Linked DNA regions of Mus musculus. The main gene of each other region encodes a partner of the protein of the gene in region 2 in a complex. Links are inferred from orthologs where the notes say so. Each region holds a gene or a part of one and is shown on either strand. Other genes may lie near its edges.

Region 1 (3,811 bases), on a different chromosome or scaffold from region 2:
TGCCTCTTATGGCATCGCTTAAAAAAAAAAAAAAAAACAATCAGGCAACTGGGAAGATGGCTCAGAGGTTAAGAACACTAACTGCTCTTCCAAAGGTCCTGAGTTCAATTCCCAGCAACCACATCGTGGCTCACAATCATCTGCAATGGGATCCGATACGTGTTTGAAGACAGCATACTCACGTACGTTAAATAAATAAATAAATCTTAAAAAAAAAAGGCAGCAAGTTTATTAACCATTTGCTCAGTAGAAGTTTAATGGAGAAAGTTGTTTTAAACGATCAGTCAAAAAGAACAGCTCTTTTACAAACAAGTTATGGCAGTGAAGAGGCAAAACCCCAGGTCTGATTTCATGTTCCTCTCACCTGGCCCTATGAGAGGGCAGAAGATGAGTGAGAAGATGGGGCCATTAAAATGTTAGCTGGAGAAATTACAAAAATACACTCTGATGTAGCAACAGGATCATGGTGAGACATGCCATGAGGGAGGGGCAACAACCGGGCAGGGAGGTGCTGTGGGTGCTCAGTGCCTCGGGGAGGGAGGAATCCTGACTCCCGGCCTGCAGGTCTTGGAGTGGACACATGCTGTACGGGGGATCACCTGGATGCCTGGGGAGACAGAAATGATTAAAATGTCAAACTCGATAGGTCTTCTGAGCCGTCCACCCTGTTTGCCCATGGAACTAAAGCAACCCAAAGTAGGCCATTGCAGCAAGTGGTTCCCAAGTGACCAGAAGGGGGTCCTTACTTGATGCCCTCCACCTACCTACCACTTTTGCCTACTTCTGACAGGGGTGATGCATTGGATAAAAGGGAGGGTGATGGACTGTGACATAAAAGGCACAGTGACATGCCTCTTAACTGTAACAGTCATCTCTCTCCAGTTCTTGGCACAGCGTCTATGTTAAACAGAGTCCTTACAGTTCTCTTATGTGGCTTATCTAAGTTAGATGTCGTGACTGTGGGATCATGAGTGTGATGCCAATGTCTAGAAGGTCAAGACCAGATGCAGAAGAAGAGTATTGGAAGTACAGGTCAGAGGAGAGGCTGTCCCCAAGATCTCTGTCCAAAGCAGGGTCTGCACTACTGTGGCCCATCTCCTAGGCCATCATTACACTTGGAATAGGTTCTCCATTCCACTCCAGCGTTGGGTGGCCCCCTTTCTTCATTCCAATCTTCTGAGCATTGATTGGCAATAGCATCTTAGACGCCAAGAACAACTTTGGCAATGGGAGCTGGCTAGCAGGGGAGGATTTCTATCACGCACATGGCAGGTTGGGCTGTGTGTATGCACATAAACACAAGGTCTCCTCTGGCTGTGCCAGGCTTATTAACAAACATCCACTCTGGAACTCAGCACCATGCATGTGGAGGAGGGAGGGGGAGGTCAAAAGGGAGAGAGACAGAGACAGAGTCAGACAGAGACACAGACACAAAGAGACAGAAAGAGACACAGAGACAGAAAGAGACACTCACAGAGACACAGAGACACAGAGAGACAGACACAGACACAAAAACAGAGACACAGAGACAGAAACACACACACACACACACACACACACACAGAGGGAGGGGGGAAGAGGGAGAGAGAGAGAGACGAGAGGACAGCCATTAATAATACCCAAATGAGCTGGCTAATGTATCCATGAAGAATTTTGCATGTTAAGCAGAGAAGCCGAGAGAAGGAGCTTATTAGCCCTGTTACAGCACCTCTCAGCTGGAAGTATAATAGAAAATCAGAAAAACCAATTGTCTGGCTCAAATAGTTTGCTTGGTTTTTTTTTCTTTTTCCTTCCAAATAAATTGATTCTTGCTAATGGGACTGATCTTAAACTGTAAAGAATATTGCTGTGGTTTAGAGTTAGATATGAGCTTTGGTGTCCCTTAAGAGCCCCTTTGAAGAATGTCATTAAGATTTCGAAGGATTCATGCTACTTCTGGAAGATTTACTACTAGATATCAGATAGGTCTGGCTTTGAAAGAAATAGACTGCTTGCCAAGAACAGAAGTTGTGACTTCAGCGTGTGCAAGTTCACTTGAGATCTTCAGAGATGAATCATTCTGTTAAGATAAATGCAGCAACTGTCTCCCCGAAACCTAGTAAGGGTGTCCATTTTGGGGGATAAGCTTGCTGCAGACAAGTAGCCTCACAGCTTGGGCTATGCAGGCTGTCTGTATGGGAGAGTGTGGGCACCAAAGATTAGCATATAGATGGCTCTACCTCGAAAGAGGATTATGAACGACATGGCTGCCTTGGGTGCGCAAGAAGCAAAAAGGGGCTGCATGCTTGTTTCTTCTCTGCCTCAGAAGTGGGGAATAGCTTCTGTTGGGACAATACCATATTGTCAGACTAACTGGTGCTTTTGTATAAGGCGTGTCCCCCTGGCCCCCAAGCTGTCTCAGGAGATGTTTACATGAAGGGGCACAGACCTGACAGTTGGGTTTTTTCTAACTGGGAATTATTAATTTCTAATGCCAGTCCACAGTAGTGCACTGGTGAGAGTTGGGTTTGGAGTCAGCCAACTGTAATTGGGTTTCTCTTCTGAGTTCTCTGATAGACTTTATATGAGTGTGTGTGTACCGGAGGGTAGGAAAAGATCACAAATGTTATCCTGGAAAGAGGCAAAAAACTGAAGGAAAAAAAATTCCTTCATTAGTACATATTTTATAACTCACTCGATCCGTTAGGTGAAATCCTGGAATCCCGGTTCAGCGAGGACGCCATTAATGATAAAGAACTGGTCTTTCCTTGGCAAAGTGCCAGGGTAACCAAAGTGTTAGAGGAAGAAATGAGAGCAAAAAGCATAACTCTGGGTCTCAACAAAAAGTCTTTGGCAAGGGCAAATGGGAAATAGTAACGGTTTCCATGGAGTCCAGCCACCTTGCGATGCAGGGTGAGGTGGATAAGCTGTCTTTGAAGCAGAACGGTAATCGGCCTCTTTGCAAATGGCTAAGAGGAGGGCTGGCTATTGGCTTTTTGCAGATAAAGTCTCTGAGGAAAGGTGAGCTGAATGGTTGCTATGGTAACCGGCTGTTAGAATTGGTCCACTTAACTGTCCCCATAGTAACTAAGCTCCTGGAGGGCTATAGAGGAATTAGTTATCTTAACATACTACTATTATCCCCATGGTAACCAGTCTCTGAATGGGAGTGGTCAGCCTCAAGGAGAATGGTGGGAAAAACTTTGCTTCCTGGAGAAATGGGTAGAGAGGCAGAGATGTGAATTTCTTCAACCAACCAAACCTCTCAAGGACCGGAATCCTTGAGATGTGTGTGGGGAGAGGGATTGGGTGGTGAATGTGTGTGTGTGAGTGTGTGTGTGTGTGTGTGTGCGCGCGCGTGAGAGAGAGATTGGGGGCTGGCTAATGTGTTTCTAGGCCTGGGAAGAAGTCTGAGACAGCTGGGTAAATGAAGTCACTTCTTGCCCCCTGCTAGTTGGTGCCCAACTCACTCATGGGTTGCAGTGGCCGGTGCAGCTGGGAGGGGCTCCTTCTGGCTACACATTACCATTCTGGTGCAGGGTGCGCCGGCGTTGACTTGACTGCATGCTCAGGACCAGGTACTGCCTCATAAACTCACTGAACCGCTTCTGGTTGGCCAACTTCCGGGCTGATTTCCGGGCCCCGGTGAAGCCCCCAAACCTTTTCTGCAGCTGCTTCTGCTCCACCTCCTCAGCGTCATCTGCGCCAGGCTCAGCATCTGCGCCAGGCTCAGCATCTGCGCCAGGCTCTGCATCTCGCACTTGCACCAAGCTCCGGACACGCGGCATTCTCTTCAGGTGCTGCATCTCCGAGGCCTTTGGCTGGTAAAGAG
Region 2 (4,608 bases):
CAGTGGGGCAAGGTGAAGCACACAGGACCCAACTCAAGGTCATGAGACGAAGGGACATTCTGTGGCTCTGTTCTGCCTATATTTAAACAATGCTTATGGCACCCTCTTTCTAAATCTGGAACCTGGGCTGGAAAGCAGGTAAAGACTATTAGGAAAAGAGGCTCTGTAGAGGCACAGAGACAACTTGGTTGATAACTCTGAGGTTGTGTGCCAGCTTTGCCTGGAGTGGGAGGGAAGAGGGAGAGAGAGAGAGAGAGACAGAGACAGAGACAGTAACAGAGAGTGCATACCTATGTACTATATATCTAGGGGCCTTGCTCTGTGCCTGCCTGTTTCCACACTAGTTTACATCCTGTTTGTATCTTTCTCTTTGTGCCTGCATTCACTTTGTGAGTTTTGTATATGTGATTCTTGTGTGCACCTCTGAGCACATATCCCTTGTGTCTCTGTGTCTCTATACTGCGCCTGTCTGGGTATCTCTGTGTATGTTCTGTTTATTTGCAGGAATGTGTCCTCATGTGTCTCCTTGAGTGTCCATGTGTCCCTGAGAATGGAGAGACAAGTCCTTGGAGACAGCTTGGGATGCTGAGTCCTGGGGTGTCTGTCTGCTCTGGCCTTTTCTGGTTGGACAGGTATCCTAGCAACACTTCTGTGAGTTGCCTAGCAACCAGGTCCCCATCCTTAGAGAAAGAGCAGGGTCTGGCTGTATGTGGGAGATCTGGCTCTCATTCAGTACAGACAGCAAAAGCAAGCCTATGATTTGATGATGGCTAGAGACTCAGCATAGGGTCTCTAGCCTACATGACCTTAACTTACGGCTTTTTTTTCTCAGTGGACTGTGACCCCTTGTGCTGGCAAAGAAAGAGGAGCTTAGTATCTCTGTGTTTTCTAAGATCTAATTCTGGGAGTTAGCTGTGGTGTAGCTCCAAGTGACCAGCAGACCTGGCTTTCCTTTACCATGACATATTGACAGGCAGCTTCAGACTTCAGAGACATGATGCTTTCATTTGTGAGGATAATATGGGTGGTAATGGCTACATGCAGTGGGGGTTCCTGGGTTCAGTTTTGTCTTGGGCTTAGTGTACATTAGGTATAAATAGCACATAATAGATTCAGGGCAGTATTTGGTCCTTAGTCCAGACAATCTCTTGCTTACTTGCAAGAAAGCCTTTCCTTGGAGAATTAGTTGGGTTAGGGTATTGCTGTCTATTACTGTGGTACTCTGCTTTACTGGACAGTTCTGGGCAGGAAAGCTGGCAAAATATGGTCTGGGCTAAGCTGGACAAAACAACATTTACCAGTGATGGTGGTGCACGCCTTAATCCCAGCACTCAGAAAGCAGAGGCAGACATATCTTTGAGTTCCAGGACAGCCAAGGCTACACAGAGAAATCCTGTCTCTAACCCATCACCCCTCCAACAAAACAAAACAAAACAAAACAAAACAAAACAAAACAAAACAAAACAAAACAGAACAAAACATTTTCCTCACATCTGCCTCTAGGTGAGCATTTCTCTGTATACATCTTAAGTGTGTTCTTGTGTCTAAGGCTGTGCATGTATGTGTGTCTGAGTTCCTGTTCATGTCTCCATTTTTGTGTTTATAGATGTCTCCACTGTGTGTCCCAGATCCTGAGTGTGTCTGTCTTGTGTGTCTTGTGTGAGCCGATTTTTTTTTTTTTTTTTTTTTTTGGCTTCCTTCTCCAACCTGCGCAGCCCCTCCTTCTCTCAGCCGCAGCCTTCTGCCCCTCCCCCTTCTGGCTGCCGCACTGGCTGCTGCGTCTAGTCAATATCTTATCTTCGGAGCAGGAGCTAGGAGCCATTCCCAGCCGGAGCAGACCCCAAGCTAGAGTGAGAAGCATTACTCAGTTCATTGTGCTCCTGCCTGCCTTTCTGCTAAGCATTAGGGTCTGTTTTGGCCCAGCTTCTGAAGAGGTTGTGTGTGCTGTTGGAGGTAAGAGGGGCTCTAGTGAGGGCTCCTGCTGCTGCTGACAGAGCTGGGGGTGGGGGAGCACTGGGAGGTAGGGAAGTGCCTGAGCCCTAGGCATTTCTGGGTAAATTCCATGTCTTTTGTGCTCCAGTGTGCCTTAGGATGGTTTGGGCATTTTTTTGTATTCGGCTGACTGTGAGCCCCTGAGTCTTGGTGGGTGGACATGTATGCTTGTGTAGCTACCTCCATGTTGCTTCTGTGCGAGTCTATCACCCTAATATGAGGTAAAATTGTGAGTAAATGTGCCCCCATGCCTCTGTGTGTGTCATCATGTGCCCATGTGTATGCCTTTGTCTGTGTCCATGTGTCTGTGTGTGGATGCCCATCGAGGTGTTCATGTGCCTGTTAGTGTAGTTGTGCTGTTCTAAGGCCTCAGTGGACTGTGTCCAGCACTGTGGTCACTTCTTTCTGTGTCCTGTTCCAGGAACTGTACTGAGTGGCTTTGCAGGGTGACAGCATGGAGTCCCTCTTTCCTGCCCCATTCTGGGAGGTCTTGTATGGCAGCCACTTTCAAGGGAACCTGTCTCTCCTAAATGAGACCGTACCCCATCACCTGCTCCTCAATGCTAGCCACAGTGCCTTCCTGCCCCTTGGACTCAAGGTCACCATCGTGGGGCTCTACTTGGCTGTGTGCATCGGGGGGCTCCTGGGGAACTGCCTCGTCATGTATGTCATCCTCAGGTAGGCGGGTCCCATCAATCTGTGAAGGGGGAACCTGAGGCAGGAGGCTGTTCTGGATGAATTCGAACAAGCATGGATTTTCTGCTTGCTCCATCAAATTTCTTCCCTCTCTGTTCAAGGGACATGATCACCCTTGAAGTTCAACTCCTGTTCTGCTCCCATCTGTCTCAGACTAGGTGTCACCACCTGGAGGCTTGGTACTGCAGATAAATCCATGCCGTGATGTCTATGTGAATAACCATGGGTACAAAGGATCCTAAGATTTCCCAAAGAGAGGAAGAGGGGCTGGTGCTGGGCCTGAAGCCCTTGTTCATTGGCCTTTAGGATCTATGCTCATGGTGGATGTCTTTAGCTGAGCCCATGCTCTATTGGTGCTCAGAAATGGGAAAATTTGGAGGACTACAAAGAAAGACAGCAGTACTGGATGACTGAGGTAGCGTCGACGGTGAGGGGAAGAGGGCAGTGTGAGGTACAGTTCTATGGACAAGAAAGCTGGGCAAGGAGTATGCAATTGGTAAATGTGTGGTGGCAATGATGGTCTCTGTTTTTTTCCAGCTGGGAGGGCATTGAGGGGAACTGGAGACAGCAGGTGAGGACTTGAATGCCAGAATGGGGACGCCAAATTCTTTGGACATTGGGAAGACATGGGAGGTCCTTGAGTGGTGGATAACTAGAGCAAGGTTCTTCACTGATATTTCCTCTTTCAAAAAGATGACTCTGAAGAGAGCAGTCATGGTTCCCTTGATGGTATCATGGTAGGTGTGGTATTGGTAGAGGAGGAAGGGGCAGTACAGTGTCCATACCCTGCCTCATTATGGTCCTCTTAGTATTTCTGAGCAACTGTTTTCTCTGTTTGTTAGATGGGAAATGTGGATTATATAGTCATATATAGGTGCATGTGCACAGACGTGTGTATATATATATATGCTATGTGATTGGAAAAGCATTCCAAGTATTGACTTTTGGCAGAGGACCCTTGTGGGAAACTATTCTATGATCCATGTGTCTCATGGTTAAAAGGATATGTCTTTGGCAAGACGTGCAGCAACCAGGGACAGTTTGTGAGCCTTGCCTTTCCTTGTCATCAGCATTTCTCTCCTATATTGTCCTCTGCATTTGGGATATTAAAATTCTTGAGCCATTTACTGCAGTAGAGTAGAGAAGGAACGCCATCTTTTCCACCAGCATCCCCAGAGAACTAGTCTCAGAAACTGCTGTGGCTGCACTGGCTCAGGAGACAACACACGGCATGTTTGAGTTGGATGTGTGCCAGGAGTCAGAAAAATATGCTCTGAGCCCCATTTTGCACCTTAGCAGTTCTAAGCCTTATGAAAGCTACTTAGTTCCTCTGAGTCTCAGCTTCCTTCTCCACAGCGTAGAGATTAAATGGCATTTTTGCTTTGGGGTAAACCTCAAATGAGATAAAATCTATGTGAAGAGCTTGGCTCAGATATCTACCATTATCATTAACATTGTTATTTATTGTAATTAAGGTCTCTGGGATTAATGTCTAAGAGACAGAACTTAATCTCAGATTCCCTGGTAGCAACTAAACATCATGGACTACTGTTATCTCTAGTGCTACCACCACCATACTGCCATAACCACCATAACCACTATAACCACCACCATTACCACCATCACTTTCATCATCATCACTATAGTCACCCTTCCCTACCACTGTCATAAACATTAATTCATTCCACTAATATTTATAACTTATAATGTTCCTAGCATGGTTCCCAGTGCTTGGATACAATCAAACCTAACTAGCACATCTCCTTTTTTCTTTATTAGAATAAAAAATATTGTGTTTATTTTTGGGTATGAGTGTTTCTGCTGGATGTATAGGTCAGATGAGAAAGTTGGTTTTCTCCTTTTACTATGTAAGTTTCTCCTTCTACCACATGTGTCCTGGAAATGGAACTCAGGTCATCA

What was found.
Region 1: the proteins of Oprl1 (region 2) and Pnoc are in contact, whole or in part, in a cryo-EM structure (PDB 8F7X), measured with the Homo sapiens proteins. The link is inferred for Mus musculus from reciprocal best matches to the Homo sapiens genes OPRL1 and PNOC. Residues at the interface, in NP_000904.1 of Homo sapiens: Gln107, Asp110, Gly114, Phe115, Trp116, Val126, Ile127, Asp130, Tyr131, Met134, Gln192, Glu194, Ile198, Glu199, Cys200, Leu201, Val202, Ile219, Val279, Gln280, Val283, Gln286, Gln291, Pro292, Ser293, Val298, Leu301, Arg302, Thr305, Tyr309; in NP_006219.1 of Homo sapiens: Phe130, Gly131, Gly132, Phe133, Thr134, Gly135, Ala136, Arg137, Lys138, Ser139, Ala140, Arg141, Lys142, Leu143.

Annotation. Positions count from the first base shown.
Region 1 is NC_000080.6:65,401,255-65,405,065, forward strand, and holds part of Pnoc (prepronociceptin isoform 1 preproprotein), read right to left. Parts: coding exon 3,495-3,811; 3' UTR 3,450-3,494; intron 608-3,449; coding exon of another isoform or gene 522-607; 3' UTR 1-521.
Region 2 is NC_000068.7:181,713,277-181,717,884, forward strand, and holds the start of Oprl1 (nociceptin receptor), read left to right. Parts: upstream 1-1,739; 5' UTR 1,740-1,953; intron 1,954-2,071; exon of another isoform or gene 2,072-2,413; 5' UTR 2,414-2,446; coding exon 2,447-2,670; intron 2,671-3,225; coding exon of another isoform or gene 3,226-3,259; intron 3,260-4,608.